Stegostoma tigrinum: one gene and its partners. The protein of the gene in region 2 interacts with the protein of the main gene of each other region in a pairwise test. Links are inferred from orthologs where the notes say so. Each region holds a gene or a part of one and is shown on either strand. Other genes may lie near its edges. The genes, in order: stx18, disc1, exoc1 and akap9.

Region 1 (7,869 bases), on a different chromosome or scaffold from region 2:
AAACGTAGGGGACAATAGACTCTCAGGGGAACATAGCACTAGCAGACAGGTTTCTGGTACCAAGACTGGCTCGAACATATCAAGGGATATACCGGGTTCCAAGTAATTGTTTGTGATAGGGTACTCACTAGTCAGAGGCATAGCCAGACAACAATGGAGACAACACTGTGGCCGATAGCGAGATGCCTCCCTGGAGCCAGGATCAAAGATGTGTCAGAGAGGCAGAATATTCTCAACAGAGAGAGGGGCCAGTGTGATGTTGTTGAACACCTTGGAATTAACTACATAGATACAGAAAAGGATGAAATTCTGTGGACAGAATATAGGAAGTTAGGCAGGAATATAAAAAGTAGGTCCTCAAGGGTAGTAAGGCAGATGAACTCTGGCTATGATTAGAAACATGGGACTGGGATATCATAGCAAATATGGAGACGTGGCTCAGGGGTGGATAGGACTGACAGTTTAATGCTCCAGATGCTATAGGAAGAATTGAAAGGGAGGTCTCGGCTTCTCACCCTCACTTTCCTAGCCGTTGTTATATCAAGTCTATGAATAAAGATTGGCATGCACGTCACAGCACGAGTCAACTGCTTACTTTGGTTCTCTGTGGCAGTTGCCAACTTCTCCAAGGAGAAGTAATGCGCTAATGTGCCTGACATATGGCAGACATCAAGGCTTTCCATAGTCTGTGCAAAACAGCTCAGAACCCCTAGCATCTTGATCATATGTTGTTTAAACTGCTGCATTTTTGGCAGGCTTCTTTTGACCACTACCAAAGAGCCTGCTTTCAGCATGGGACTCTGCAGGGGGCTATGCCAGGACAGCCCTCAGTGTCAACAACCTTGGTGGTGACAGCCTCTAATAGTTGCTGGGATATGCATTCATTAGAAACTGACCCCAAATCTGAACACAACACATTCATGATCTTGGAGGGTGTACCTCCGCTGCGGAGGGTGAAAGGCAGGCAGGTAACAGTGCATCCTGTAGTGTGGTTGTCCTCGGAGGTGGTGTCTTCACTCTTCTTAAGTGGCTGAGGCCTATGTTCTGGCATGCAGGAACCTGTATAAAGAGAACAAAAACAAACCCTTTAAAACAGAGATTCTGAGCACTACACAATGCACTGTGGTCCCGAGCACCCTTTATGGCTACAGCAGGTCAAGTTCATTCTCCCTCTGAACCCCAGCCACTCCAGCCTTGCCATCAACAACAGATTGGCCTTCTATTCTCTGCAGGACTGCTTTCGCAGCAAAGGCAAGGACCATAAGATTTGGCATACTTCTGCCCATCTTTCTCCTTGCTGTCTGATTATGAATCTGCTTGTCCTTCACAAGAAAGTGAAGAATTAACAAACTGACAAATGCTACCAAGGCCCTACCAGATAATGGTAGCTTATATCAAACTGCTTACTCAAGCTAACCGGAACTAATCTGTCATGCAGTCCGAAGGCAGATCACACATTCATTCTCAACACCTAGTTGCCCACCAAACAAACACATAGCCAAGACAAACAATGTTGCATAACTGAGACACTTATCCAGGTGGATGGGTGGAGATCACTGACCATTTTGTGACACAGCACCTGTGGTCTCTGGCAGGCCTAACCTCTGCAATCTCTCTCTAGGTCTTATCAGGCGTGTAGGTCAGACTACTGTTGCCATTGCTCAAAGTACATCATCCACTATTCCAAATTGGTCTGGATAGGATTTGCAGGATGCATTGGGATGTCTCTGTTCTGACTGGGTGTAAAGGGTTAAATCTAACTGTGATATTTCTGAGAAGACAGTGTACACCATAGGAATTTATGCAATGTTTTAAGAACAAAGTGTCTCCTCCAGCCTCCTGCCAAGATGGAACCATGGTTCGGTCTTTCTTAAATAGAATTGATGTTTTCCTTACTTCAACATGCTCTTGAGGTATTCCTTATCAGCATCTCAAGGCCCAAAACACCAAAAGGGGATAAAGGATGGGGGCAGAGTGGGGGAAGAGAAGAGGTGCACAAAAAAAATGCCAATTTTTGACAAAAAGGAGTAGGAAAAGTGGGCCCTTGATACAGTGTCTCCTTGCATGTCCAGGTGGCTCTGCCACAGTCCTGCTGGACCTGAACCATCATCAGACGAGGTTAGCTTCGAGAGGAAATTTGTCCCCATCCACACAATTGCACATATTTCACATGCCTGCCACTCGTCCTTTAAATATTGATAAGAATCGAGAGAATACCAGCTCCAGGAAAACAGAAATGGGTTAACAAAGTGTAGCGCTGGATGAACACAGCAGGCCAACCAGCATGTTAAGAGCACAAAAGCTGGGAAGGAAAAGAGATGCGGACCGAAGATGGATAGAGAGGGTAGGTGGAAAGGAGTGTGTTTGGGGGTGGGGGGAAAGGTAGGTAGGGAAGGGATAAGTCAGTCTGGGGAGGACGGACAGGTCAAGGGGGCCAGGTGGGGTTAGTAGGTAGGAAATGAAGGTGCGGATTGAAGTGGGAGGAGGGGATAGGTGAGGGAAAGAACAGGTTAGGGAGGCTGGGATGAGCTGGGCTGGTTTTGGGATGCAGTGGGGGGGGGGGGGGGGAAGAGGGGAGATTTTGAAGCTGGTGAAATCCACATTGATACCATTGGGATGCAGGGTTTCCAAGCGAAATATGAGTTGTTGTTCCTGCAACCACGGGTGGCATCATTTTGGCACCGCTGGAGGCCCAGGATGGACATGTCGTCTGAGGAATGGGAGGGGGAGTTGAAATGGTTCACAACTGGGAGATGCAGTTGTTTGTTGCAAACCGAGCGGAGGTGTTCTGCAAAGCAGTCCCCAAGTCTCCGCTTGGTTTCCCCAATGTAGAGGAGGCCACACTGTGTACAGCGGATACAGTATACCACAGTGGTGGATGTGCAGGTGAACAAATGCTTGATGTGGAAAGTCATCTTGGGGCCTGGATGGGGATGAGGGAGGAGGTGTGGGGGCAGGTGTAGCACTTCCTGCGGTTGGCAGTCCCTCCTCCGCACCTACACCCCACCTCTTCCTTCAATACATTGCTGACTGTATCGGCGCCACCTCATGCTCCCAAGAGGAGCTCGAACAGTTCATCCACTTCACCAACACCTTCCACCCCAACCTCAAGTTCACCAGGACCATCTCCAACACATCCCTCACCTTCCTGGACCTGTGTCTCCATCTCAGACTACCACCTACAAACCGATGTCCCCTTCAAGCCCACCAACTTCCACAGCTACCTGGTATACAGCTTCTCCCACCCACCTTTCTGCTAAAATTCCATCCTCTATTCCTTCGCCGCCTCCACATCTGTTCGCAGGATGAGGCATTCCACTCCTGCACATCCCAGATGTCCTCATTCTTCAAGGACAGCAACTCCCACCCCCTTGACCTGTCCGTCCTCCCCGGACTGACCTATCCCCTCCCTCCCCCCCCCCCCATACTCTCCTCTCCACCTATCTTCTCCTCTATCTATCCTTGGTCCGCCTCCCCCTCTCTCCCTATTTATTTCAGAATCCTCTCCCCCTTCCCCCATGAAGGGTCTGGGCCCAAAACGTCAGCTTTTGTGCTCCTAAGATGCTGCTTGGCTTGCTGTGTTCATCCAGCTCCACACTTTGTTATCTCGGATCTACCAGCATCTGCAGTTCCCATTATCTCTAAACATAAACGGGTGCCCACTTCTGCTTTCATCGCCTGGCACCACAAATCGCTGATTAAATGTCACGCTGTTGAGCCCGGAGCGCACGAAACTAACTGAATAATTCTGAGGAACGGCACCTCAGGCTTCCGTTTGGAATAAATTAACTTAAATTCTGGATTCCATTCGGCCTGGAAGCTTGAAATGTGCAAAAGCGTTTCCAACATTGATTGTCAGCCCCCGGGTGAATTGTAATCAGTCACAACATCCTCCGACTCACTATTTACAAGAGACGCACGGTGGGGCGAGGGTCACTAACAGGAAATACTGAGCAAGCTTTTCCAGAGGTGGAATGCAGTACAGGTGATGGTGAGGAGTTAGTCCTGGTCTGAGCGGTTTCCATAAAAGCTGTGATGAAGCCCAGAGGGAAGGGAGTACAATGCTGGAGCTGGAAAAACAGAGCAGGCCAGGCAGCATCAGAGGAGCAGGAAAGCTGGCGTTTCGGGTCGGAACCCTTCTGCAGTGTTATCTCAGACTCCAGCATCTGCAGCTCTTACTATCTCAGAGGGAAGGGAAGTAGCTTTCACGTGGTTTGGTCTCCAAGGCGAACCCGGGCTCATCCAGTAACGACCCGTGGGCGAACCGCCCTGGGAAACCACGAAACCCTCATCGGAATTATTCACCCTCCGCGTTCCCGCCACCTGCTTCACCCGTTCTCCGACGCCGACCGGGTCGCCGCAAGATGACGCCGCCACCGTCGCCCGTGCCCGGGGTGAGGGGCGGCGTCGCGCCGTGATGATCTCTCCAGCGGTGACGTGTCTTCGGTCAGAATGGCGGCCGACATCACGCTCTTGTTCCGAGCGAGTGTGAAAACCGTCAAAACTCGGAACAAGGCGATCGGTGTCAGTGGCGAACCGGTCAGGGAGGAGATCCTGAGGAAGGGGAGGACGAGGGCCGAGTTCACCGCCCGGGCCAGAGAAGTGGTGAGTGCCAGAGAGAATTGAAGCAATGCAGGGGGAGTACGGAGGCTTGCCATTGAACGTTGGGAAGAACAAAAACAGAAGTTGCTGGAAAATCTCAGCAGGTCTGGCAGCATCTGTGAAGAAGAAATCAGAGTTAATGTTTCGGGTCCGGTTACCCTTCCTCAGAACTGTCAACTTAAACAGAGGCCACCGAGCCCTACACCTCTTCAACCCACTGCCTTTATCCGCAACAGATGCGGCAGAGACTGTCTTGCCAGAGTGTCTCACGCTGGAAAGAGTTGTATTTCTGTGGCACCGTTTACTTCTAGCGAACACCACACCCCTCCCCCCACCCGCCGAAAGCGTTTTACAGCCAATGGTACATTTCTGAAATGTAGTCGTTGTTGTGCTGTAGGCAACACAGCGGCCAGCCAGTGTGTGCACAGCAATGTGGTATACGCACAGTAGCTCACTGTCCAGCACGAAAATGATTTGCTTCCCCGTGGTCACCTCTCTGAGAATCACCAGCTATGTGGTTCAGGTGAGCTACTCTGGCATGACAGTCTCTGCCGCATCTGTTGCGGATGAGGGCAGTGGTAGGACTCGGTGGCCTCTGTTTAAGTTGGCCGTTCTATCAGCCAGCCGATCTCTTTGTCTCTGTTAGTTTCATTCAAACAGTCAATCTCCAGAGTCAGGGTTGTTTCTGTATGCCCTTGGAACAGGTGTGGATGGCCCAGGAAGTCATGGTGCTATATAGATAGTTCAGTTTACAGATGATCATTTTCTGTTGAATGTGGCCAGGTCAGCACAGACATTATGTTCCAGACCTCTAAGTTTGTGTCCTTATCCTGCCAAGAGATGCTGACGTTATGTTTGCGACAGTGAAGGTGAAAATTGTTCCACAGATAATTTGCTGGTTACTATGGAGTCTACATATGTAAGACTGTAAACAAACTCCAGTGTCACATTATCAATGCTGATAGATGGCATATGGCGACATTCTAAAAATGATCCTGATACTATTGGCCATACCACCAATTTACAATGTGAGAGAATCTGTCAGAATTCCACTCAAGGTGTTGCTCAGTATGGAATGTTAGTGTAGTATTGTCAGCCTAGAGCAGCTGTGATGAGAGCTTGATGCTTTTTGTCTTAGATCTTAGGTGGGCAAGAATGAGTAGGTTCTGTCAGTTCTAGTATGTAAGTAGGTACTGTGAACGGGTCACCAGCTGGGATATGGCATTAGCAAAAAGGTGTATATGCCAAAAGGTGTTGGTGTCACACTACAGATTTCAAAGAATACCAATCTGACCCTAGCTGACTTTGCTCAGTATTTTGTTAAGGAAATAAGATCTCATTGAGCAGCTTCGGCAGGTGACCAAAGCATAAAAGTTGAACACAGATACCAATAAATTCTTCCCTGCTTCTTCTGAATGGACCTTTTAAATTTCAAATCTAATGATGATCTTGCTTTTTGAGCACCTCTTTGCAACCATAACTTAGAATTCCTTACTGTGTTCAATCATCCTATGATCTTTGTATGTTATGATTTGCGTGTACTGCACCCAAAACAAAATTTTTCACTGTACTTAGGTACATGTGACAATAATATATTCAATTAAATCAGGCAGCACAAATGGCCTGTCTCATCTCACGTGATTGAATGCCTTGGTGAAGTGAAAGTCCTTGATATATTGTTGCCATTGCTTGCGTCATTTCTCTTGCAGCTGCTGGACAGAGAAGGTCTTGTCAATTTTATATCATCCAGTTCGACCCAAATCGTCAAGCTTTCCTGCTCCTCTGATGCTGCTTGGCCTGCTGTGTTCATCCAGCTTCATACCATGTTATTTCAAAAAGATGCATTCAACCAAGATCTGGAGTCTGAGGAAGGCAATGCTAGAAGATTTTTTTTAGCGTGCCACTCAGCAGGAAGATGCTTTTATGGCTTTGCAATTGTTGCAGTTACCCTTGTTCTTATACAGGGTATTAGTCTTAGAATCATGCATATCCTGGGCACTGCCACTTCCTTCCAGCAGATGCTGCAGGAGTGCTGGATTTTTGTGCTTAATTGTATTTAGGTCATGTAGCATAAGCATCTCCAGCTTTAGTCACAGCAAGAAATAGTGTAACTGAGCTGTGGATTCAATATCTGGCTCTGCCATGACAGCAGGCTTTCATGTTGTCTAGACCGTCCTCAGTAACAGTCTGTACAGTTTATTTCACAGTAGCGTTTCAAGTATCTCTCCAAATGTATATTTTGTTCTTGATTACTGCCCCTGTCTTTGCTAACAATGGAGCTGTTTTCTTTGCTGCTTTTTGCCTGCTTCAAATGTGCCTCTGACATTCCCATATCAAAGGACATCTGTCCCTGCTGAAGCCTGCAGTCAGTGTGTTTGTCTAACAGTCTGTTGGACTTTTATTTCGATCAGGTCTTAGTGTAACAGCATATGTTCACTCAGATTTCTGTTGTAGTTGGTGAAACGAAAGGAGCCAGATCACCGCTGTTTTTATGTTGTTTGTCGAGAGATATTTATTGGCTTTGATAGCAGGGATAGCTCCACTGCTTTTTGACCTAGTACCGTTTGTGACCATCTGAGAGAGCAGAGAGAGACTCATTTCAATGTCCAAACTGAAAGACAGCACCTCTGACAATATAGCACTCCTTCAATACTGAACTGGAGTATCAGCCTTGATTTTTGTCTTGAAGACCTAGAGTGGGACTTGAACCTTAAACCTCTGCTTTGAGTGACAGTCCGCCAGCTGAACCACAACTCTTACATTTATATGTTATCGTGAAATCCAGAAGCTGTTCGCAATGAGTGTTGAGGGGTAATCACTTTTTTTGTTATGGCAGTCATATTTCACGCAGCAATGATCCTCAAATTGTACAGAGATGACCAGTTGAGGCTCTGTATTGGTAGTTGTGCTGAAGACAATGTAGCAATGCAGAATATCTTGCCTTGTCGTGTTTATGTGTCACTAATTAATCAGAAGTTGCAGTCGATAATGCATTGTAAAAGTGCAGCCAGTTGTGTTGACCAAAAATGCCAAACTGTGTGTTCATGTAAGGTCCTATAAATGCAAATGATTGAATAACCAGACAATCTGTTCAGGAGATATGGGTTGATGAGAAATGTTGGCCAGCATACTAAGCACTACTGTTGTTCCAACAAATGAACTTATAAACAAGGAACAAGAACTGGCCAGTAAGCCCGTGAAGCTTGTTCTGCCATTCAATTAGATCATGATTGATCTGATTTTTAACTTCAACTCTACACTCCTGCA
Region 2 (7,831 bases):
CAGGGATCTATACTTGGACCTCTGCTGTTTGTGATATATGTAAATGATTTGTACGAAAATGTGGATGGGAGTAAGGTTTCAGACGATACAGAGATCGGCAGATTTGCGGATAGTGTGAAAGGTTGTCAAAGGATATAGGTCAATTGCCAATACGGGCAGAGGAGTGGCACATGGAGTTTATTCTGGGTAAGTGTGAGGTGCTGCACTTTGGGAGATCAAATGTTAAGGGAAAGTATACAGTTAAAGGCAGGAATCTGTGAGAGGGATCTTGGGATACAAATCTATAGCTCCTTGAAAGTACCCATGCAAGTAGATAGGGTGGTAGAGAAGGCATATGGCACGCTTGACTTTATTGGTCAGGGAACTGAGGACAAGAGTCAGTGCATCATTTTGCAGTTTTACAAGACTTTGGTTGGGCTACAGTTGAGTATTGTGTTTAATTATGGTTGCTACATTTCAGAGAAGATGTGGAGGTTTTGAAAGGGTGCAGATGAGGTTTACCAGGATGCTGCATGGATTAGAGGATATCAACTATATGGAGAGGATAGAAAAACTTGGTTGTTTTTCTGGAGTGGCAGAGGCTAATGGGAGACTTGATTGAAGTTTATAAAATTACAAGATGCATAGACAGGGTTGACAGTCAGAATCTTTTTCGCAGTGTCAAAATGCCTAACACTAGGGGGCATGCATTTAAGGCGGTTGCGGGGGGAGGGGGGGGGGAGTTCAAAGGAGATGTGAGGGACATAGAGTAGTAGGAGACTTGAATTTGTCACCAGGGATGGTGGTAGAGGCAGATACAATGGGGCATATAAGAGACTTTTAGATAAGCACATGAATATTCAAGGAATGGAGGGATACGGACCAAAGGCAGGCAGAAGGAATTAATTTAATTTGGTGTCATGTTTGGCACATCGTGGGCCGAAGAGGCCGTTGCTGTGCTGTACAGTTCTATGTTCTAATACCTTTACCAATTTAAAGTACATCATGATGAAAACATTTGTTAAACTAATATTAATCCCAGCTATCTAAAATTTCCATAATGGGTTTACTCTGGAGTGCACAATTTACATCCCTAATATTAATTCAAAACAAATAGATGAGTGCCTTAAACTCTTGGTATGGTTGTAATTTTATTCTTGAACTACAATGCATAATTTAGCGTCCATTGGCTATTCATTCTAAAGAAGCCTGATAAGTAGACAATATTTTGAAGAATGTTTTCCAATTTGGTACTTTCAGCTTAAGAGAAAACCAGCTCCTTTTACTGGCCCAAACACTGAAATCTATTTTGCATCCTGATATGTGATAGTCATTTATTACAAATACATTTTTAAAAATAAGTATTTTGTATACTTATGTGGGTGTTCACGTTATATTATGCTTTGATGAACTTTGATTAACTTCATTAATAAGAAAGGGTTCCATCCAGTCAATGTCAAACTCACCTGTGATCACTGCAAAAACATTCTGGAAGTCTGAGGCTGCTGCCCTGGAAACTGCCATGATGCCAATATCTTTGACAATTCTCAGGTTCCTGCTTCATTCCAAAGACCAATTGCTTTATTAAGAGCCAACAATTACCCTTTGCCATCATGGCTGATGACTCCATTTCGTAACCTCTGACTCAGACTGAAGCTAAATACAATGCAGCCCATTCTTCCTTTGGGAGACATTAGGCTTCCTCAGATGAAATTTCCATGCACGAAAACATTTGGGGATTTCTTGCAATACTCTGATAATGGATTGCACCACATAATCCTTGCACGTTGTACTCTGGACAACTGACCCAAGCAAAATGGGGATGGGTAATTAAGGAGCTGTGAGAGCAGCAACATTCTGCTGATGAGAAAGAAGAGGACGTTGAGCAAAAGGAACATCAACCTCGCCACAACAGAGTGAGGCAGCGTTGAGCTCAAAACAAAACACCTATTAGACACCCACTTCCAAAGGAATAGAGTTGGTTGAAGTCATTGGCTGTAAGTGCTTAGATGCTGGAAATTCAATTAGCCCCTATATATTCTCAAAAGCAAAAGTAGCTTTTGGCTTGTTCCTTATTCGCCTTTCCTGTTGTACAAGTTACCTTTCAGAGCTGTTGGAAGGCTTCACAATATCTGACACTTCGGCATTTAAAATGACAGCTACCAAGGGGAAGCATGTGAATGAAAAGTAGGAAGTAGCCTAAAAAGCAGGCCTAAGTTTGAATCAAACCAAGATTCAGTTCCTAAAGCTACTTCTATTATCAGAGATGCCTTTCAGTTTAGCTCCAGTAATTTACTGGAGAAAGTAATCAAAGTTGGCAGCTGTTTCAAGAATGGGAATTTGTCAGTACTGCCTCATGCTAAAATAAAAGTTGACAGTGGACTTTCAAATATAAAGAGCAGCAGCATGGAGAGGACTGAAAAGACAAGGGTTTCAAGAAGCAAATTTTTATGTGACCTTCAGTAGTTACCACGGTCAGCTTTCTGCATAGCAATTCATACAAATCTAGAATGGGAGCATTCAGTGAAAGGCAAACTTCTAGAAAGTGCAATTTCAGTTATCAAGTTACTTACTGTACAAGTTAGTTTGGAAATCAGATCATACAGCAGGTGCAGAGGATATGTTATCTCATATCAGTAAAACATCATCACAGGTAGTTTACTTATAATAGTGAATATGAAATTGTGCTATCTATGCTCTTATTTCAGGCAGTATTTTTGGAATTGTTGCAATATTATCTATTTAGAATAGCTCACTTTGACAAAGGTTTGGTACAGAATATCATGGTATATATAATTACCGTACGATTAAATGTGGTTTTCCCTTCACTACAAAAATATTAAAAGTGAAAATAAATATTTGCAAAGTTGTTACCAACCGTATACAGTACATGCAAAGTTAAGGAATTATTATTTAAAATAAAAGAAATAAGCAATATGTGACAAATGTAAACTGTAAAGATCAATCATAACAGCAAAATTTTGAAATAAAACTCCACGTAAATGCGTGCTTACATTAATAAAGAAAATATTTTTCTTAAAATGTGCTATCTATGCCACAAGGTCTTTGGTAAAGTGCTGAATAAATTCTCCCAGCTCCCCGATGGAGCGGAACTGTAAAGGGCAGAAGATCCCAGATTCATGCCCTAGTCGTTATCTTAACTAAGCTGATGAGAAAGATTTTGCAATTAATCGGCGTCCATAGGGCAGGGTTCGGCGAATCAGTAGTTATCATGTCTAACGTAAAGGGGAGGCGGGTCCAAATACAACTCAATAACAGGACTCCGGTACTGAACCCAATCTCAGATGGATATAGGGTGTGGTTAGAGGGGGAAAAAGAGCCCTGGATACATACGCAGGATGTCAGCAATTTGTTTTATAAAACCGCGCAGCGAAACCCGTTCCGTATTACGAGTCATACCTCTTTTCTGCGGGTTTTGCCCCCGAGGCCCAGGATCACTGCTAGAAACTGATCTCGGCCGATCCGCGAAAGATTCGCGTATTACATCCATTCCATCGAACATCATCAGCCAGACCGGCCGAGGCGCGAGCTAACGGCCCCCACTGAATAACCCCCGTCCCGCGCGCTTTGCTTCCGTTCGCGCCACTTTGACAGTTCCTCCAGCCGTTGTTGTCCGTTCGGTTTGATTATCGTGCGACCCTCACCCAACTGCTCGTCTCCAATGGTGGTCGAAACCCCGCGCGCGCGGATCCGTGCACGACAAATTGAGGGAGACAACGACACCGAGTCCTCTCAGTTCGTTATGCCAAAGGGTCAGTCTCTTGCAGAGATTTGAGGAAGTGAGCGAATCAGTCCTTTTCTTTTACACAAACGCAGTGGCGACTTTGTTATTACAGCTTCACAAAACCTTCGATTTTGAAGGTTCTGTTTGGACGAATTTTGAGGGTTTAGTGCTCTGTTTTTGAGTGGCCCAACTGCGTCAAAAGCATTATGATTACATGCTTTATATTTGTAATAAATCTCACTTTTACTTTTGACCTGTTTACTGATGTAACATTCTGGAATTGGATACCCTTCAGTGGAGAAACGATATATTGGATGAGTTGTGGTCTGGAATGAATGTATTACCTGAAAGGATGGTGGAAAAGACTAATACGGAACGGGTTTCGCTGCGCGGTTTTATAAAGATCTCTAAATGGGAATAGAATAAATAGCGAGGACAAATTTAAAAGGCTTTGAATAAAGAATAAGGGAGTGGAACCAATTAGATAGTTATTTCCAAAACACGTTGTTGTATAAGTTTATGTTTCTTAAGAGTTCTTCTTTTAAATCTAAAGGAGCTTTTACGCTTCACTGAAAGGTTTCTATTTCGGGTTTTTCGAGTTTTTTCGGAATTGTTCTGAAGGTGGGTCACAGTACTTGTTTTCTCTTCTAGATGTTCCCACATCTGCTGTGTTTCTCCAACAATTTGTGTTCTAGTTTGTTTGTTATCTTCTACCACTAATCTTTACATAAACCCAAGACAGGATTACAGGCAGTGAACTACTGCAAACAATCCTTAACTGGTACTATATACTAGTTGGTGTCAAAATTCACCCAGTTACCATAAGTGGTTACCTTGGAAAATCCTATATGGCTGCAGTGGTGTCACAAAGAAAAAATATCCAGAAGAAAATTTTAAAAATTCAAGTGAGTTTTTGCCACTTTAACAGCCAGCATTTGCACTTTGAAAGTAAATCTCTCTCCTGAACCCTCTCCAGTTTGATAATATCCTCTGTACAAGAGGGCAGCAAGAACTGGATACAGTACTCCAGAAGTGGCCTCAGCAATGTACTGTACAACTTCAATGTAACTCCTACACTCAAAGACCTGAGCAATGAAGTCTAGAATGCTAAATGCCTTCTTAACCATATATGTGATGCAAACTTCAAAGAATAATGTACCTGAAGCCCTAGGCCTCTCTGTTTCACAACACTACCGAAGGCCTTACTTTTAATTGTGTAAGTCCTGCCCTTGTTTGTTTTACCAAAATGTAAAACCTCACAGTTATCCAAATTAAACTCCATCTGCCACTCTTTGGCCCATTGATTCAATTGATCGAGATCACTTTATAATCTTGGATAACCTTCTTCACTGTGCATTACAGCACCATTTCTGGTGTCATCCATAAACTTTCTAACCATGTCTTCTATATTTTCATCTAAATCATTTATATAAATGACAAACAAAAGTGGACCCAGCACCGAATCTAGCAGAATACTGCTGGCCACAAGCCTACAGTCCAGAAAACAACTCTCCATTATCACATTTGTCACACACTGTCACTCCTGAAAAACTCAATTTAATTTGTGGGGTGCAATTTCACTGAAAACCATGCTTACTATGCCTAATCATTACTTACTTCAAATGCATATAAATCCTATTCTTCAGAATCACCTCCAACAACTTACCCACCACCAAAGTCATACTCACAGGATTATAGTTCCCAGGCTTCCCCTTACATCCCTTTTTAAATAAAGACACAAAATTAGCCACTTTCAGTCATCTGGCATCTCACCCACAGTAATAGATGATACAAATATTTATGCAAGGGGCCCCACAACATCCTAGGATAGACTAGATCAGGTCCTGGCGATTTATCCACCTTTATATTTTCTAAGACATCCAGCACTTCCTATTCTGTAATGTGAACTGTTTTCAAAATATCAATATTTATTTTCCAGAGTTCTCTAACTTCCATTTTTCTCCACAGTAAAAACAGATGCAAAATATTTATTTACTATCTCTCACATCTCCTGAGGTTCAACACAAAGATAACCATGTTGATCTTTAAAGGGCCTTACTCTCTCTCTCTAGTTGCTCTTCTGCTGTTAATGGCTTGTAGAATCTTTTTGGATTATCCTTAACTTTATTTGCCAAAGCTATCACATATCCTGTCTTTGCCTTCCTAAATATCCCTCTTAAGAATGTCCCTACATACTTTATACTGTTCAAGAGAGTCATTTGAACCCAGTTTCTATATCTAATATATGATACTTGTTTATTCTTGACTAGGACCTCAACATCTTTCTTCATCCATTGTTCCCTAATCCCATTAGTTTTACCTTTCACTCTAACAGGAACATAATAGCTGTGACCTCTCGTTACCACATGTTTGAATACCTCACAATTATCAGATATCCCCTTACTTGTAAACAGTCTACTCCAGTAAACTTTTGAAAATTCTTGTCTCATATCTTTAAAATTGGCCTTTCTTCAATTAAATCTTTAATTTTTATGGAAGGTTTGTCCTTTTCCATAACTATTTTAAAACAAATAAATTATGATCACTTGACGCAAAGTATTCCCATACTATCATTTCAGTCACTTGTCTGTCTTATTATCCAAGAGAAGGTCAAGTTTTGCTCCTTCATATTGATAAAGAAAATTTTCTTGAACATATTTAACATTCTAAACTATCCAAACCTTTAATACAGTGGTAGTCCTAATCAATGTTTGAAAAATTGAAATCTCATTATTATAACTATTATTCTTAGATACATCTGAAATGTCTCTACATATTTGTTCCTTAATTTTCCTGGCTGCTGGAGGTCTATATTACAATCCCATCAAGGTGATTGTTCCTTTTTCATTTCTAATTTCAATCCATATATTTTCACTGAATGATATTTCAGAAATATTTTTTCTAGTTACAGCAGTAATGTTTTCCTTAATCAAAAATGCCACTCCCCCTCCTCTTACGTCTCTTTCCCTTCCTGTAGCACCTAAAACTTAGAACATTGAGCTGCAAGTCCTGTCCGTCCTTCAGCCAAGTTTCTGTCATAGCTATGGTGTCCCAATCTCATGTTGAAAGCATGCCCCAAGTTCATTAGCCTTACCTATAGGACCCCTTCCATTGAAATAATTCTTCAGTTACTTCATTCTCTGACTTGCTTTTGTCTGTCTTTTCCAATTGTTCTTTTCAGATTCAAAACCATCTTCATTTATCTTTCTATTTACCCTGCTATTTAGGATGCCTCACCCCCATCCCCCAAACCCTCTCCCTCCCCAAATAGTTTACAGTTTCTCTTAATAGAATTAGCAAATCTTCCCTGTAAGATATCAGTCCCTTTCCATTGCAGGTGAAACCCATCCTTTTTGAACAGGTCTTTTCTGCCTTCGGAGAGATCCCAATGATCTGAGAATCTGAATCCCTGAACATTACATCACCTCTTCAGCCGTTGATTTATCTCCTTCATCATTTTATTCTTTCCCTCATTTGAGTCTAGCAGCGGGAGTAAACCAGAGATTACTACTTTTGAGGTTCTGTTTTGTAATCTTCTATCTAAACCCTTATTCACCCTGTAAAGCCCTGATCTTTTCCCTAACCTTGTCATTCCTACCAATGTGTACAATAACTTCTGGTTTCTCACTTATCCTTTTAACAACATGCTTCAAACATTTTAAAACATCCTTAATCGTGGCACCAAGAAAGCAACATTATATCATAGATTAATGTTCATTGCTGCAGGATCTCCTGTCTGTGCCCTTTATAGGAAAGTCATCTCTAACAATTATTCTTTCAAATTTTGTCAAAGCCAGCCTAACATAAGATTGATTCTTAGTGCCCATGATCTGGCTGCGTCTTCTACTTTTCGTCTAAGAGACTATCCTTTTCAACAGCATCCAAAGCTGAGCATTTGTTTGAGAGAGAAATAACCATGGGAGACTTCTGAACTTCTGAAATTTCTTGACAGTCATCCATCTATCTAACTGATCCTGCTGTGGAATCTCTAAATCTATTAACCACCTAACACTGTGTCTCTTGTATGCCCTCAATGGCATTAAGCGTAAAAAGTAGCAGCTTACAATAGTGCCTTATATATGAAATATACCACCTTTCCATATGTAA
Region 3 (7,941 bases), on a different chromosome or scaffold from region 2:
TAATACCATGAATAACAGAATTCAAACAGCTCTTAGATGAGAAAGTCTAGGACAAACCAGAAGGAGTATAAGTAATAATTTTCGGAATGTGAATTAATAGGGCACACAGAATGATCCCAGGGCCCAGAGTTTACATTGACTAGTAAACACCACGACATGAGACCCGTGGCTGTCCCCAGGATTGCCCATCATTGATTAGGTGTCCCATGGATTGGGTGTTTGGATTAAGGGGAAGGACAATAACTACATTGTATTTGATTGCTATAACAGTATCTAAAAATGCTGTACTTCTTTGTGAAATCAGAGTGTGCCATTGACCTCCCTTCTGATTCAGGGAAGATTCTTTGGCCCTCTCCCTGTATTAACTGGTTTCTGCTTAAAAAAACATCTTCCACTTGCCTGAATCCCGCCTGCCTTTTGAATTTTTGTCCCCAGTCAGGGGATATGTCCCACAGTGACTACACTTCCAAAGTTTTTAAATTGGCTGCGAAGTACTCTGAAATAGCTGAAAGTCATGAGGTACAATAAAAGTTTAGTTATTCTTTACTATTTAGGATTGTACCATCTGCAAAATGATGCATTTTTGGCTATTTCATAAAATGCAAAACACAGATATGATAATACATAAATGCCAATCTTTCTTCTGAAGTAAAAATTCAGTATTGGATTACCCAAGTACTCAATACAACAGTATTCAACATATTTTCCTGCCGAAAGTAGGTCCTGAACTTAGCTAGAGACTCCACATACAGTCTTTTGTTAGGAATTCCTTTAAATTTTCCAGGCTCCCAGTTTGAACATTCCTTTCTTGCCAAGTTTAAAATGGTTGTCTCATCTTTGCAGCCTCTCCCACAACTGCTGCTGTGTTCATACTGATATGCTGCCATTCATTTTCCCAACGCTTGACATTCCTCCAACCACAAGATGTTTCACGCATTTGCTGCAGAAAGGCTTACCAGTAGATGTACTTGAGGCTATCAGCATCATGGGAGAGAAATGGCTTACCAGTGGAGGGACCTCTCCTGATTTTTCCACATATGAATTCAGGAGGCAAGTGTACTCTCACTGGTTGACCTTGTGATTAAATTTTCACAGGCTTGGTGAACCTTCACATTAAACTGTTGGTTCCCCTTGCTTTATTCTGTGCAGGCTTCTATATCAATCAATCACTCAGTTCAAACCTATGATAATGCATTTCAGAATGCAACTCAAATATTCTGGGTGTGATACCTTTCCCAAAACTGCCAAAAAAAAAAATCTATATCGACAAGTGGACATCTGTTCCTCTACAGCTGCTGTCTGGCCAATTAAGATTCCAGTATGTTTTTTGTTCAGATTTTTGACACCCGCACAACTTTGTACTTCACATTCTGGGCTGCTGTTGAAAGAGATAATGGGAACTGCTGATGCTAGAGAATCCAAGATGACAAAGTGTAGAGCTGGATGAATACAGTAGGCCAAGTCGCTGCAGTGTCTCTTGTCGATGCCACTATACATTGGCGGTTGGAGGAAGTGAATGTTTAATTGTGATGGGATTAACACAGAGAATAAAGTTAAAATGTCTGAATTAAAAGGCCCTATCTAAATGTGCATGCTGTACATCAGAACAAGCAACCTTTGAGTAACAAAATGACTGAAAAGTAGAGATAGATGTTTCTAGTGTTCATTAATGTAAAACTTTACAAGGTGTTTCAAACAGGTGAAATTAGTTGCTCAACGGTGAAAGTATAGGAGAGAACCAAAAACATGATCACGGAAGTAGGTTTTAAGTAGAGTGGGAAGAGATGGCCACACAGAAAAATGTACTGTAACAGAGCAGAAAGGGACTAGAGTTAAGAGGCATTTCGAAGGTAAGATGGGGTTTGGCTGGGGACGGATTTGAATTTAATACTTTAGGGAACTAGAGGCCAATGGAGAACAGTAGGAACTGGCATTATAGACCAAGTACCACACACAATGGGTGGAAGACTAGTGAAGTGAATTGGAACTTGCTTAGAGGAGCTAGGGACATGAACTAAAGCAGTATTGATGGGCAACAGGAAAGGTGAAGTCTGTACAGTAGAGTGCTTTCCTGTGGAGAAGGAAATGAGCAATCTGGATGATTTGATTCTACATGGATTTTGACTAAGGTCACACAGAGACAAGGATACGAAGTAACTGTAGTGGAGAAAAACAAATGGCTTTAACATTATGAAGGATGCCCAATATACATGACCAGCACCAGATCAGACAAACAACCTGAGATGTAGGCAAGGGAGGGTAAGTAGCCATTAATACTACGTGTGCAGAAACCATGGAACATCATATAGATAGGAAAGAGGAAGGAATCAGTAATGGAACTTAGAGAAAATTACAGAAGCCATGTAGTAAAGAGTTTGCAGGCTGCTTTAGAACAGGGTGCAGTGTAATCAAGTGAGCATTGTGTCACAGATATTAAAGGGAAGGAAAGGAAGGAACTTGAAATCATCAACAGAACTAAATGCCATGGAGGGGTTGGTAAGGGCAAGAATGGTGCACCACAGCTACAATCGCCAAAGGTGGTGTTGGTAACTTTGACCAAGATAGATTCAGAATGAACCAATTTGACCAGCGAGTGATTAAAGTAGTAAATTACAGTTGCAAAATTTATCAATACAGTTAATACATAGTAAAAACTGTATATAACAAGTTCAATTATTTACCAAAATGATTTGGCCTTACTGTTGATATTGTCAAGTTAGAGACACAGAATGAGTCTGGTTGTCTTCCTACATTGACTGGTTGGCACTGTAGACAGAAAATGCAGTGAACTGAAACCTGTTAAAACCATTGAAATCTTGAGGATGCAGGGATCCCCACACACTGATAATGATATTAAGAATTAGGCAACATGCCCTCCTCACAATTTTTGTGGATTTTGTTTTATTTTATTTTATTTTAATTATGCTGATTCACTTTTGGTTTGATTGGAAAACTGCTGATTCTTCTTCAGTGACATTGTGCGACTTACAATCGACTGCAATTGCTCACCAGAATAAATCCAACCAGTTAGTACTGGAGGAACTGAAAATGGCCTCAGTGTGATTTCTGTTTTGAGCAGACAGGAAGATACTGACAGATGGTTCCTACTTTATAATGTACCACATTCTTATCACAATAAAAACTATGATATCCAAGTTTAAATAGCTGGGAAAAATGACACTTTCCAGCTAATACTGTCCCCAATCTCCGGGCTTTTTGCAACAACTCTGACTCGAATCCGAGCCAATTCCCCCGTACTGTTAGCCCCAGCCCACTGCACCCCATCGTGTTTACCTTAAAGCAGAAAGCAGATCCCGTCCAACAGAGACGACCTCTCAACAACAACCAACAGCCAACATCCCAATGCCGGATCCGGAACTGAACCACCTCCACTGTCACATCCGGATATGTACCGCCCGCCCCATATGACAATTTGAAAGGCGCCATCATTCAGACTGGCAAAGCTTTGCTATTTACTCTTTCCATGCTGGAAGAGATGTGTCAGCTCTACAGTCTTATTTTCAGCTGTTTTTCTAGCACTGTCAGAGATTTTAACTAACTGTTAAATGCAAACATTTAGTGAATTTCGATTTTGTTTTGTTGAATTGTGCAGATGGATCTTGTTTGAAAATTTAATCAACTTTTCTTCCAGATTTCCACCTCTTGTCTTCGTATGATCCATACGTGACTCTTTCCTCCCGTCTTAGAATCATACAATACAGAAGAGGCCCTTTGGCCCATTGAGTCTGTACAGCCGAAAGATAAACTGCCTACACTAGTCCCACTTTCTCACACTAGGCTGACAGCCTTCAATGTTATGACACTTCGTCTGTTCATCCAAACATTTTTTTAAAAGCTTGTGAGGTTATCCGCATCAACAACCCTCCCAGGCAGTGCATTCCAGACCCCCAACCCTTCTTGGTGTTGGTGAGCTCCAAACTGCATTTGGCTGTTAAAGACTTGTGTGGAAAAATTGGGCATATTTTTCTTAATGTTTAGAATTCGTTTCTCTGTTCTTGCCATATTTTTCCAACTGTGTCACCGCTCCCCACATTGTTTGGGGCTAAGAAGATACCTCAGATTGAGTTGGCTTGACTGTGGAAACCTTTTTAAATGTTTTCACAAGGGACGAGCATCGCTGGCTAGGTCAGCAAATGTTGCTTACCCCTAATTGCCCTTGAGAAGGTGATAGTAAACTACTTTCTTGACAAGCTGCAGTCCATTTTCAGGAGAAGGGTTTCAAGAGCGAGGGCAGGGTAAGACTTTCTGCAACTTCAGCCCTCTTAACCCCAGATCTCTCAATCAGGCAATGAGTGTCATTGAATGAGTGATCCCCACACATAGGGAGCTGGCAAGGGTTAGCTTTACAGGCTTCCTGCTTGGCAATATCCCCATTATCTGCTAGGTGAGAGTAGACAATGGCAGGAGGAGGCCTTAAATTGGCATTAATCTTCCTGGCCCAGGCATAATCAGGAAGATGGTGGATCCCAACCAGAATAAATGCCCTTGTGTCCAAACTTGCCTCAGGGTGTGTTAAATTTCTCCCATTGTTTTTCATTGAAGTTTACATAGAAAAATTGCTCCCTGAACACCTCCTGATAGGTGCCTCTCTCTTTTTCCTCAATGCCCCTTTTCCCCTTTACTCTGAATGACCTCTCCTTATTCTCCAACTTATGATGTAGAGCTAGCAGAATCCTTACTAATACACCCAAGTCTGGAAGCAACTGTGTTTTGCAATTGGAAGTCATCAAGAAGTCTTTCATCATCAGGCACACTATTCCCTCTGATATTTGTAACATGAATAACCATTGAAAGCACCAAAGATGTAGAGAATCATGATAACAACTGGAAGAAATCAAACAAAGAACTAGCTTGTATGTAGCTCAATGTTTTAAATAGTGCTGCTCAGTGGTCCTTTGTGTTGTTGAGCAACTGTTATATGATATGAAGAGAGGACATTGCTGGAGTGATGAGCTCAATAATGTCCTGATTGGTGTCAAATCAATATTGCATGTCATGAGTTCTGAATTCTTCCAGCTGACATTCACTATGTATAGATTAATACTGTCACATATATGGCAGCCAATATGATTCAGTGCATGATATATTAAGAGCTGCAGATGCTGGAGTCAGAGATAACACAGTGTGGAGTTGGAGGAACACAGTAGGCTAGGCAGCATTCGAGGAGCAGAAATGTTGATGTTTCGGTTCGGGACTCTTTTTCTGAAGAAGGGTCCCTACCCGAAACGTCAACTTTTCTGGTTGTCTGATGATTCAGTGTATGCATGTGCACATGTGTGTGCTGCAACCATCCTTATGTAGTTCTCAAGTTCGAAAGGTATTTGTGGTGCCCCCAAAACACATTAATGTTATCAAATTTTCATCTTAGCATTACGATCTATCTTGTCTGTGTAAATGTTTGATGATTAATTCAATTCAATTCCTGCTGAAAATGTTATTATAGCAAACAGTTAAATACAAATGAGTACAATCCTGTTTATCAGTTTCTGAGAGAATCAAATTGTTACTAAGTACTATTTTTTGCCTTGCAGTATCTTATCTGATAATTAAGTTACATATACAAAGGAATTGGAGGTTAGTATGGAACTGAAATCTAAATATGCAATTATTGCACATAGCATTGAGTATTTTACATGGTCAATATAACAATTTACAAATAGTATGTTAATTAGCAAAGAGGCCAACTCAGTTTGTAAATCAGATGTCAACCGAAACATATACGTTGTCATACGTGATACTTGCATAATGTTTCTAATGTACAAAATATCTTAATGCATTATACAGAGTAAAGTACTTTATAATAATTTCAAAATGGCACAGAGATACTCCATCAGATACAATATAAATATTAGCAGTATTAAGAAAGTAGCCACAATTTTTTTTTATTTTCAGGAATGGAACCACAGAGAACAAGAACCTGGGTGACATTATACAAAATTTACCGTATTACCTGTCAAATCTGAAACGACTTCTTCAAGGAGAAGACCTTAAGAGTAATTAGGATAGAAACATTGGAACAATGTAAGGGGAAAGTCAGATTGGAGAAATTATTTAAAATGATAGATCAAACTGAGCATCAGAAACACAATGTTTGAAGAATTATGAAAAGCAATTCACCAGGAAGCAGAATTGAAAAAGATTTAGACAGTGAAAAGGAAGTACTCATTCACTCATAGCAGTTTGGCAGCTTGTTTGAAAGATTTTGTCATGAATTTTTGAACCTTTCTCAGAGGAAATATATCCTCAAGTTAGAGAGATGAAGTATGAATATACTATGTCTTACCCTTCCCAGGACATCAAAGCTGTACTATTCCTTTACTCTCTCAGTCTTTACTTTGTTCTACATGACATGCGTTAAAAACCAAAGGTTGGCATAATCTGTTCAATGCTCTAAATTTATCCTACAAAATCTTCATCCAAAGCAATGAGAGTGGAAATAGGATAAAGTAGTCTGAGGGAAAATGGAATAGGTCAGCAAAAGCAGAATCTGGGTAAATCAGTGAGAGTGGAAGCTGGTATAATACAGTGGGAGCAAGAAAATGAATGACATAGAGTGAGTGAAAGCTGAATAGCAGCAAACCTTATTGAGGTCGAGGTTGGAAGGGGTTGGGATGAGAACACACCAACACCAGCCAGGTTTGCTGAGGTGCATTCCTGCTACTATGATGCAGGTAGACGATAAAATTTATTGTGAATGTATGCATTATAGAATATATCATAGGTCATATAGGATGAATATATTATAGGAAATTTAGTTTGGTCATTGTAGTTTTTAAATATAGGAAGAAAGGGAAGCTGATGCTATGGTAGCAAAGCCATTATGTGAGCTGTTAAAAATCAAATAATCAGAGTCTTGTTAACTATGTTTTGAGGAGATGATCGACCTTTGAGAACTTCAGAGAAGGTTTAAGTCATTCATGGAATTTTCCAAAAGCAGAAAACCATTTGAATGCAATTAACAAGATTTTGAAATAAAACAAAACACTGACGAAATTTCACAAGTCTGGCAGCAAATCTGGAGCCAGAAATAGTGTTAATATTTTGTGTATAATATGAAAATGATACTGCTTTCTATTTCTCTCCTTGTGTTTGCCATGACTGAGTGTCATAGCCACATCTCCTTCCTCAGTGACTAGGTGTGGCTCTGGATCTGGCTCTGATTTATCCAACACAGATTCCAACTGGAGTTCCATTTTTGATAATGGGAACTGCAGATGCTGGAGAATCCAAGATAATAAAGTGTGAAGCTGGATGAACACAGCAGGCCAAGCAGCATCTCAGGAGCACAAAAGCTGATGTTTCAGGCCTAGACCCTTCATCAGAGAGGAGGATGGGGTGAGGGTTCTGGAATAAATAGGGAGAGAGGGGGAGACGGACCGAAGATGGAGAGAAAAGAAGATAGGTGGAGAGGAGAGTATAGTTGGAGAGGTAGGGAGGGGATAGGTCAGTCCAGGGAAGATGGACAGGTCAAGGAGGTGGGATGAGGTTAGTAGGTAGGAAATGGAGGTGCGGCTTGGGGTGGGAGGAAGGGATGGGTGAGAGGAAGAACAGGTTAGGGAGGCAGAGACAGGCTGGGCTGGTTTTGGGATGCAGTGGGGGGAGGGGAAGAGCTGGGCTGGTTGTGTGGTGCAGTGGGGGGAGGGGACGAACTGGGCTGGTTTAGGGATGCAGTGGGGGAAGGGGAGATTTTGAAACTGGTGAAGTCCACATTGATACCATTAGGCTGCAGGGTTCCCAAGCGGAATATGAGTTGTTGTTCCTGCAACCTTCGGGTGGCATCATTGTGGCACTGCAGGAGGCCCATGATGGACATGTTATCTAAAGAATGGGAGGGGGAGTGGAAATGGTTCGCGACTGGGAGTTGTAGTTGTTTTATTGCGAACTGAGCGGAGGTGTTCTGCAAAGCGGTCTCCAAGCCTC
Region 4 (8,660 bases), on a different chromosome or scaffold from region 2:
GAAGGTTGACCTGGGCTTTCCGTTGTCGAAATTGGGCAAGCTGAAAATAGAAAATTTGATCATGACTTTTCAGATTATCAGAATCTTTAGAGATACAAGATCTTACATTTTTCTTCACATAAACAGAAACTAAAACATTATAGTAAATAATGACAATTAATCCTATACATATTCCCTCATGCCTAGAATACAAATTGTTTAATATAGTCTCGTTTGGAAAAGATGTTGCAAACAATTCTGTATTACAGATTATGTTATATTTCATTTCCAATAGTAATGATTTTGTTGCTTGCATCATCTTTCTGCACAATGCTTCGAGCATACAACGCTAAGGGGTAATTTGACCAAGGAATTTTAAGATATTGAAAGGAAATAATATGGTTAATGGAGAGAAACATGTCCCTTCCAGTAGGTGACATTAAGCAAAGAATAATCCAGTCAGTTCAGGTGCTGTTTTATCCCCATACCCCTGCAATTTCCTTCAAATATCAAATTAATTTCCGTCTGACATCATGGGTCTTGGAAACAGTTTGGAATTCCAATTAATTGAGTAGATGCTAGCTCAATTAAATATGTTAAATCAGAGATAGATACATGCTGGACATTAATAGAAAAGGAGTCTGAGTCAAAGCACGTGCAGTGAAGGTACAGATTAGCCATGAATAGTAGAACCGGAATTCAAGGCATAATGGTCCTATTCCTGTTCCTACATTCCCATAATCTAAACCAGTACGAACCAAGTGATTCAGTCAACTAAGTTGGGACTATAGCAAGAATTCATTCCCTGAACAAACTTTACACATCTTTTTCAAAGCCTTTCCAATGTGAGAAGAAAAACAAAACTGAAGCAACAATAATAGTATTATGACAGATTCAGAATGACTTCCAATCCAGGATAATGCTGAGAGGAACATCTGGGAATATATTTTCTATGTAATATAAATATATATTTCAAAACTTGGTGCAAGTAGTAAACATAAGATAAAGATATAAAAGCAAAATACTAAAGATTTTGGAAATCAGAAATGAAAACAGAAAAACTTGGAGTAGGTCTGGCAGCATCTGCAGAGGCAGAAAAAGACTTAACATGTCAAGTCTGTTCTGACTCTTCTAGAGTACGTATTCTTTGAGTAAAAAGCTTAATTAATGTGCAAAACCATTACATAACAACATTTGGGAACTGCTGATTCTGATCATTTTTCACAAATCAGTTCAAAAGTATTATGTCAGACTTGAAATGTTAACTCTGAATCAGCTTCTCTTTCACCAGTCAGACATGATTCCAAAGATACTGACCATGTAGATTAAGATTTGGTGATTAGGATTTTTTCTAGACATTGTCCAATTTTGTACAGTTTACCTTATCCATTTTGCAGGTGGTGTGTTGAACTTTAATACTTCATCAAGAGGATGCAACAAGCTAAAATCGATATGGAAACATGGAAATGCACACTTCAAAAAGTTTGTGTTCACTTTGGTAAACAAAACTCAAAGTTGCCCTCCATGTCATGAAATATACTCATTTTCGTAACTATCATAACTTTCTTAAATATCCCATTGGCTGAGGGAAAGAATTCTACTTTGCTAATATGCTAAGACTTTAAAGATTTGCTTCAGTCTTTGACTAAGCAACAGCTTAATGAGTAAAACATTACTTCACAACACAACATTTGGCAACTGCCGATTCTAATCAGCCTCAGGATATCATTGCAGAAGTTTCTCACATTAGCATCCGAGGTCTAACAAAGCCGTATCAATTACTTTCACTCAATCATGAACAGTGAAATTTGTGGGACCGCTTTCATCACACAGACTGCTCTAGTTTAATAAGGCCCACAACAACCTTGTCAACAGCAGCTACAACTTGATAATGACAGGCATATCACAGAAACAAATAAAGAAACTGTTTTCATACTTTATCCACATGCTATATCAATATGGATTAATTTAATTCATTTTATATTCTGTTTTCCCCAACTTCTACTGCAGCTATGTCAAACTTCAAGGTTGTCTTTCCCACCTGTTCATTCGTCACTCAGCAAGATTACAACTATCACTGGAAACAAATACACAAGTGCATTGAATTATGTGAGAATGCAATAAGATGCTATATATATGCACGAGGCTATTCTTGTAGACAAAGACGCTACTGAAATTATCACATTTAATCATTCTGTAACCATATGAAAATCTAAGTTTCTCTGTGATGCAAAACATTTACAGTACATCAATAAAAATGGGAGATTATGCCTATTGAATTTTAGCACACACAGAAATAAAGCTGTCACTACTCACACAGTTCATAAACAATCTTGTAATTTCTTGGGCAAAACAGATGATAATAATCAGACAATCTGGTGGCAGTTCAAATACTCCAGCATACCTTTATTAAAGTACCAATCCTGTTGATGGGATTACTAAACACTACTAAATTATAAATCTGGAAAAAATGTAACAATTACATACTTTAGAAGTTGTTGTTAAACTTCTGCAATTTTGTTACATTAAAGTGACTTTCACTCCAGCCTTCTTAAGATGTATTATCTTAAATGTACTTCAAGACGTTAGAAAGTATGTAATGTATTGGGCTGTCATTGCGAATAGCTGCTACATCCAATCCAACACGGTTAACAGAAACAAACCGTTTTCGCTGAAAGCAAAATCTTTAAACAACTTTCATTAACACACTTAATTTCTGTTCAATTTATAATGTACAATCTTTCCTTTGACACGTCCTTGCAAATAGCTTTGTATCGATTCTGATTAACTCGTTTAATTCAATTCACAACAAAGCCCTGGATCCTGCTCTAGGCCCTTCTGGCACCTCAAGTAAACAATAAAAAGCACGATTACCAAAGGCCTACAATCCCCTACAGTTGGCTAAAGCCTGCGGATCCAATTAGAAAGCACAGAGATATTAAAGCTCATCCCTCTGCACCTGGAGACGGGGCCATGGACTAGTGCCTTCCAGACAGAAAACAGCCGACCAGCGCCGGCCTCCGTCCCTCCCTTATCCCGACTCCAGTATTCACCGCCGCAGCAAGTGAGGGACTCTTACCTTGGCTTTGCCGGCCTCCAATTTCTTCTGTCTCTCCTCGTCTTCCATGGCTGTGTGAGAGGGAGGGAGTGGAGCTCAGTCAGTGACACGTTAGCAGCGCCGGCCGACACCACGGCCCGCGGCAACGACACCACTGCGCATGACAGACTCACAGGACAGCAATCCCTCGCACGGGAGGAGGCGGCTGACGCCAGGTCAGAAAGGATGGGGAGAGGAGGAGAAGATGGTGAAAGGGAGGGAAGGAGGAGTTGGAGATGGATGGGGAGGAAATAGATACAGCTGTGAATGTTCTAGAAAAAGATGGGGGAGAAAGTAAGTAGGACTCAAAAAATAAATGTTCCACATGTAACTAAAAAGCCAGCCATACATTAAGTTCAACCAGGTAGAGCAGGATGGTGCTAGATCTGAAGTGTTGGGGCCACCATTCAATGAAATGATGTTATCAGTATGTCCATATGAAGAATAATGGTGTAGAGACATTGTACATCTATTGTGAAAAGGAAACAGTTAGGGTTAGAAAGCAGGAAATTGTCAAAAGTGGCAAAGGACACCGGCAGTGTTACAGATGCGGTGGATGAGCCTTGACAAAGTGAAACAATAAAATTAGAGATAGAAAGAATTCAGTTGGACGGGGCAAGTAATACCAGGATGATTATATTAAATTTCTTTACACTTATTACATCAACTCAAACAACAATACTAAGCACAAAGCTAGTTCACTGATTGTACATTAAAGAATAGTACAAGACTCCTCAACAGTATGTGGCCTCTAGAGTTGTAGAAATCCCAGATGTGATCTGTACCAATTTCAACTGGACACCCACATTAAACTTTATCAAAGCTGAATTATAACAAATTTTGATGGCTTTTTGATTAAAGCCTTACAAATCTTTCCAAAACTCCATTATTACATAAAATTATGAATGTCTAATTCTCATGGAATAGCATAAGTGTTTAGACTAGTCAGACTGGAAATCTACCGTTTAGAAACATCAGTTGTCTGGAAGTTCTTTGAGCAGAGCCATTCATGTGTCAGTTTAGTACAATATATTGAGAGCAGAAAAAATGAAGATGTGTTGGGGTTAGTAAATTCTTTTCATTACTTTGAACATACAACAATGTGAACAAGGAACAAGAGTAGGTTCACTTGGCCCTTTGAATTTGCTCTGCCATTTCAAGATGATCATGGCTGACCTGATTTTAACCTCAACTTGTCATTGGGGTCGATTAGCTCAGTTGGCTGGATGGTTGGATTGTAATGCAGTGTGACATCAATGGTGTGGATTCACTTTCTGCACCAGCTCAGGTAACCACAAAGGACTCTCCTCCTTAACAAGGACTCTCCTCCTTAACCTCTCCCCTTACCTGAGGCATAGTGACCTTCAGGTTAAACCACAATCAATCTTGTCACTTTAGAGAGGAACCCAATGATCTGGCAAGACAATGGTAATTTGATTACTAAAAGGATGAAGGATTATCAGAAATGTAAAGACAGAATCTATTTATCTCTGCCTTAAAAATAAAGATTCTGCATGCATCGCCTTTTGAGGAAGGGAATTCCAAAATATTCAAATCTCCCAGAGACAAAATATGTTTCTTCATCTCTATGTTAAATGTGTGACCCCTTATTTTTAAACTCTGATTCCTAGTCCTAGATTCTCCCACAAGAGGAAATATTCTTTTGACATTCATCTGGTCAAGTCTCGTCAGGATCTTAAATATTTCAATCAAGTATTTCAATTGACTTTTCTAAACTCCAGCGATTATAAGCATGCACTGTTAGCCCTTCCTAATAAGGCAATCTTCTCATTCTGGGTTTACTACTTTAAAGTGTTTTATGTTTAAGGTAGCTAATGTACATCCACAGTGGTTTCTGTTTCATGTACATGATTAGGCCAGAATGTCATTCGATAATGCAGAAAAGTCAGAAATCCAGAAATGATTTGGTTCTAAGCATTCTGGACTGCAGGGTCACAATTGACTTACACATAAAAGAATCTCAATAATTATTAAATTCATTAAAACAGGCGGACAAGACTTTTATTTCGTCAACAGTCTCATGACAGTAGTGGACTGTAAGGAACCACAGCCAGAAAGAGGAGAGTTTTCAATTTTTAGAATTGTGTTTCCATAAACTAACCTTAAAATTTGTATTGAAGTTGTTAGCTTTCTGCGACAGAAATGTTTGTAATGTTCAGGACATCATGGATGAATATAAAATGAACTGAACTTTAAATGTATCCCATTGGAATAATCTGAATGGAAAAAGTATCAAAAGATGACCAGACACTTTCCTTCAAAAGGGAAATAAGCAAAAAGACAGGAATGCACTTTCACTTCAAACTGATCCAGATAACAGTTGTTACACTCTTAAGAAACCAGCCATGACATCCAGAACAAAGATGTTGCTAGATCAGAATTTTTTTATTTCCTCTGCCAAGGAGGGTCATAATATTCTGCAGTTCTCAGTCATGTTCCCTACTTGCCCACCCTTGACCTGGTTGCAATTTTATGGGAGGCAGATGAGGCCTGATGTGGCATGCCTTCCCTCACCTCGAATGACACCCATAAGTGGCCAACTTACAAGCAAGTAATGGCAAGTTGCTGCTCAATTTCCAGCTAAGAGTGAGGAAATCAAGGAGACAGGAGCACAGCACATTAGCCTGCTCAAACTAAATGCATTGTTTGATAAGTGGCATGTTACAGAGCATTTATAATTGCTTGCTTTTATTGTTCAGAGAAATATTTGTATTAACTGTTCAATCAGAGACTTACAACATGAGAATGGAAGTTATACAGGTAATTGTCTTCTGATTGGCTTTCCTCTGTAGGTACAGTTTCGCAAAAGGTTAATGTTAGCAATCAGATAGAAAATAGTGACAAGGTTTGTTTTGCTTTTTACCATTTTGCTGTCATGCTAAAATATATTTGCATTTACCATTTACAACTCCTTCTGTCGGTGCTGAGTCATCAATACTCATGCCAAAATTTTTGAACTTAACATTCACAAGTCTGCAAGCCTTAATATGATGAGACCTGACTTTGAAGTTATCTCTAAAGAAAAGTCAGCCAGAAGTTTATTGATTAAAATGCCTGAGTCTCCATAACTAATGAGATGAATCCTTGGAAAGGATTATAAGAGATAGGATTTATAATCATCTAGCAAGCAACAATTTGATTGGAGATAGTCAGCATGGATTCATAAAGGGCAGGTTGTGCCTCACAAACCTCCTTGAGTTTTTTGAGAAGGTGACCAAGCATGTGGATGAGGGAAAGGCAGTTGACGTGGTGTGCATGGACTTCAGTAAAGCCTTTGATAAGGTTTCACATGGTAGGCTATTGGAGAAAATACAGAGGCACAGGATTGAGGGAGATTTAGCAGTTTGGATTAGAAACTGGCTTTCTGTAAGAAGGCAACAAGTGGCGGTTGATGATATTCAGCCTGGAGTCTGGTCACTAGTGGTGTGCTTCAAGGATCTGTTTTGGGACCACTGCTGCTTGTCATTTTTATAAATGACTTGGACGCAGGCATCGGTGGATGGGTTAGAAAGTTTGCAGATGACACTAAAGTCGGTGGAGCGGTGGACAGTGTGGAAGAATGTTGCACGTCGCAGGGAGACTTGGATAAACTGCAGAATTGGGCTGAAAGGTGGAAAATGGAGTTTAATATGGATAAATGTGAGGTGATTCACTTTGGAGGAATAATAGGAAGGCAGAATACCGGGTCAATGGAAAGATTCTTGGTAGTGTGGATGTGCAGAGGGATCTTGGTGTCCATGTACATAGATCCTTAAAAGTTGCCACCCAGGTTGATCGTGCTATTAAGAAGGCTTACGCTGTGTTAGGTTTTATTGGTAGAGGGATTGAGTTCCGGAGCCGTGGTGTCATGCTGCAACTGTACAAAATGCTAGTGTGGCCTCATTTGTAATATGCGTGCAGTTCTAGCCGCCCCATTACAAGAAGGACGTGGAAGCATTGGAAAAGGTGCAGAGGAGATTTACCAGGATGTTGCCTGGTCTAGAGCGCAGGCCCTATGAAGAAAGGCTGAGGGACTTTGGTCTGTTCTCATTGGAGAGAAGGAAGCTAAGAGGGGATTTAATAGAGACATACAAGATGATCAGAGGATTAGATAGGGTGGACAGTGAGAGTCTTTTTCCATGGATGATGACTTCAGCTTGTACAAGGGGGCATAGCTACAAATTGAGGGGTGATAGATTTAAGACAGATGTCAGAGGCAGGTTCTTTACTCAGAGAGTGGTAAGGGCATGGAACAATCTGCCTGCCAATGTAGTTAACTCAGCCATATTAGGGGCATTTAAATAGTCCTTGGATAAGCATGTGGATAATGATGGGATAGTGCAGGGGCATTTAAATAGTCCTTGGATAAGCATGTGGATAATGATGGGATAGTGTAGGGGGAGGGGCTTAGATTAGTTCATAGGTCAGCGCAACATCGAGGGCCAAAGGGCCTCCGCTGTATTGTTCTATGTTCTATGAATCAGAGTTGCCAGTGAGAGTTGGGTCACAACACTTTCTTGCTTTGGTGAGCTGTGAAGTTAAACTTGATTTTATCTTATTTACTTAAATTAAATTCCATTCAGCTTAATGGTGAGCTATTTAAGCCAACATCACAAGGGTGGAAACCAGATAGGAGAAGTTGACATTTTGGCTATTTCATAATGTCTGTTTGCTAATTTTGGCTAAACTTTACATACTTCACTATCGAATTGAAGATAAATTCATTAATTTAGAGATTTCACAGATTCGTTTATTTTCATTAAGACAGATATATTTGAATCAATAAAAGTTTGCAAATCAAGCTAACATTCCCCATTTTGAATTAAATTTTTATTTTGCAAATTCAGGTAACTTCTTTAAAAGCTCAAAGTGCAAGAGGAACTTGATAAGTCTGACAGCATCTGTGGAGGCAGAAATGTTTCAAGTCCAATATAACTCATAGTTTAGAACTTTATTCTCTTTTCACAGATATTGCCAGATCTGCTGTATTCCTCGAGCATTTTCTGTTTTTATTTCTAATCTCCAGTATCTTGCAGTACTTTGCTTTTATTTGAAGGTAGCTAATTAATTTGGGCTTGAAATGATGCTAAGGTTAGGGCAGCATTACAGCTCATTTACAAACATCAACATGCAAAGAGTTAAAAATGACCCAGGATATTAATTTGAGAAGATGGAATCAGGCAGCATTACGGCTGTACCCAAAAATAAACATATGCAATCCTTAACATAATATCATTCACTACAGAATTTTAATTGTTGTGCAATCATAAAATGGTTGTAACATTTCAAAATTTGCTTCATGAATAAAATTGAAATTTCACGTAAATTACTGAGTTTTGAGACAGGTTACAATTTCATTAGGGTCACCACTGCAAAATGTTCATGCCTGGAGACAACAGAGATGAAGGAACATTGAGAACTTTAGACAACTGATGACAGAGTTGAAGTATCACATAATGCATGATAATGCAGCAAATGTTTTAATTTAGAACATTGAACAGTACAGCACAGTACAGGCCCTTCAGCCCACGATGTTGTGCTGAACTTTTACCCGAAACCTAAGGTCTATCTAACCTTATACTAT

What was found.
Region 1: the proteins of disc1 (region 2) and stx18 interact in a two-hybrid assay, tested with the Homo sapiens proteins (2 studies listed by BioGRID and IntAct). The link is inferred for Stegostoma tigrinum from reciprocal best matches to the Homo sapiens genes DISC1 and STX18.
Region 3: the proteins of disc1 (region 2) and exoc1 interact in a two-hybrid assay, tested with the Homo sapiens proteins (2 studies listed by BioGRID and IntAct). The link is inferred for Stegostoma tigrinum from reciprocal best matches to the Homo sapiens genes DISC1 and EXOC1.
Region 4: the proteins of disc1 (region 2) and akap9 interact in a two-hybrid assay, tested with the Homo sapiens proteins (2 studies listed by BioGRID and IntAct). The link is inferred for Stegostoma tigrinum from reciprocal best matches to the Homo sapiens genes DISC1 and AKAP9.

What each region holds. Positions count from the first base shown.
Region 1 is NC_081354.1:17,152,604-17,160,472, reverse strand, and holds the start of stx18 (syntaxin-18), read left to right. Parts: upstream 1-4,399; 5' UTR 4,400-4,452; coding exon 4,453-4,605; intron 4,606-7,869. UniProt on the Homo sapiens protein: Syntaxin that may be involved in targeting and fusion of Golgi-derived retrograde transport vesicles with the ER.
Region 2 is NC_081357.1:97,267,449-97,275,279, reverse strand, and holds the start of disc1 (disrupted in schizophrenia 1 protein), read right to left. Parts: upstream 3,755-7,831; 5' UTR 3,506-3,754; coding exon 3,400-3,505; intron 1-3,399. UniProt on the Homo sapiens protein: Involved in the regulation of multiple aspects of embryonic and adult neurogenesis. Required for neural progenitor proliferation in the ventrical/subventrical zone during embryonic brain development and in the adult dentate gyrus of the hippocampus.
Region 3 is NC_081354.1:109,168,616-109,176,556, reverse strand, and holds the start of exoc1 (exocyst complex component 1), read right to left. Parts: upstream 3,389-7,941; 5' UTR 3,295-3,388; intron 1-3,294.
Region 4 is NC_081355.1:108,967,821-108,976,480, forward strand, and holds the start of akap9 (A-kinase anchor protein 9), read right to left. Parts: upstream 3,187-8,660; 5' UTR 3,107-3,186; coding exon 3,059-3,106; intron 41-3,058; coding exon 1-40. UniProt on the Homo sapiens protein: Scaffolding protein that assembles several protein kinases and phosphatases on the centrosome and Golgi apparatus. Required to maintain the integrity of the Golgi apparatus. Required for microtubule nucleation at the cis-side of the Golgi apparatus.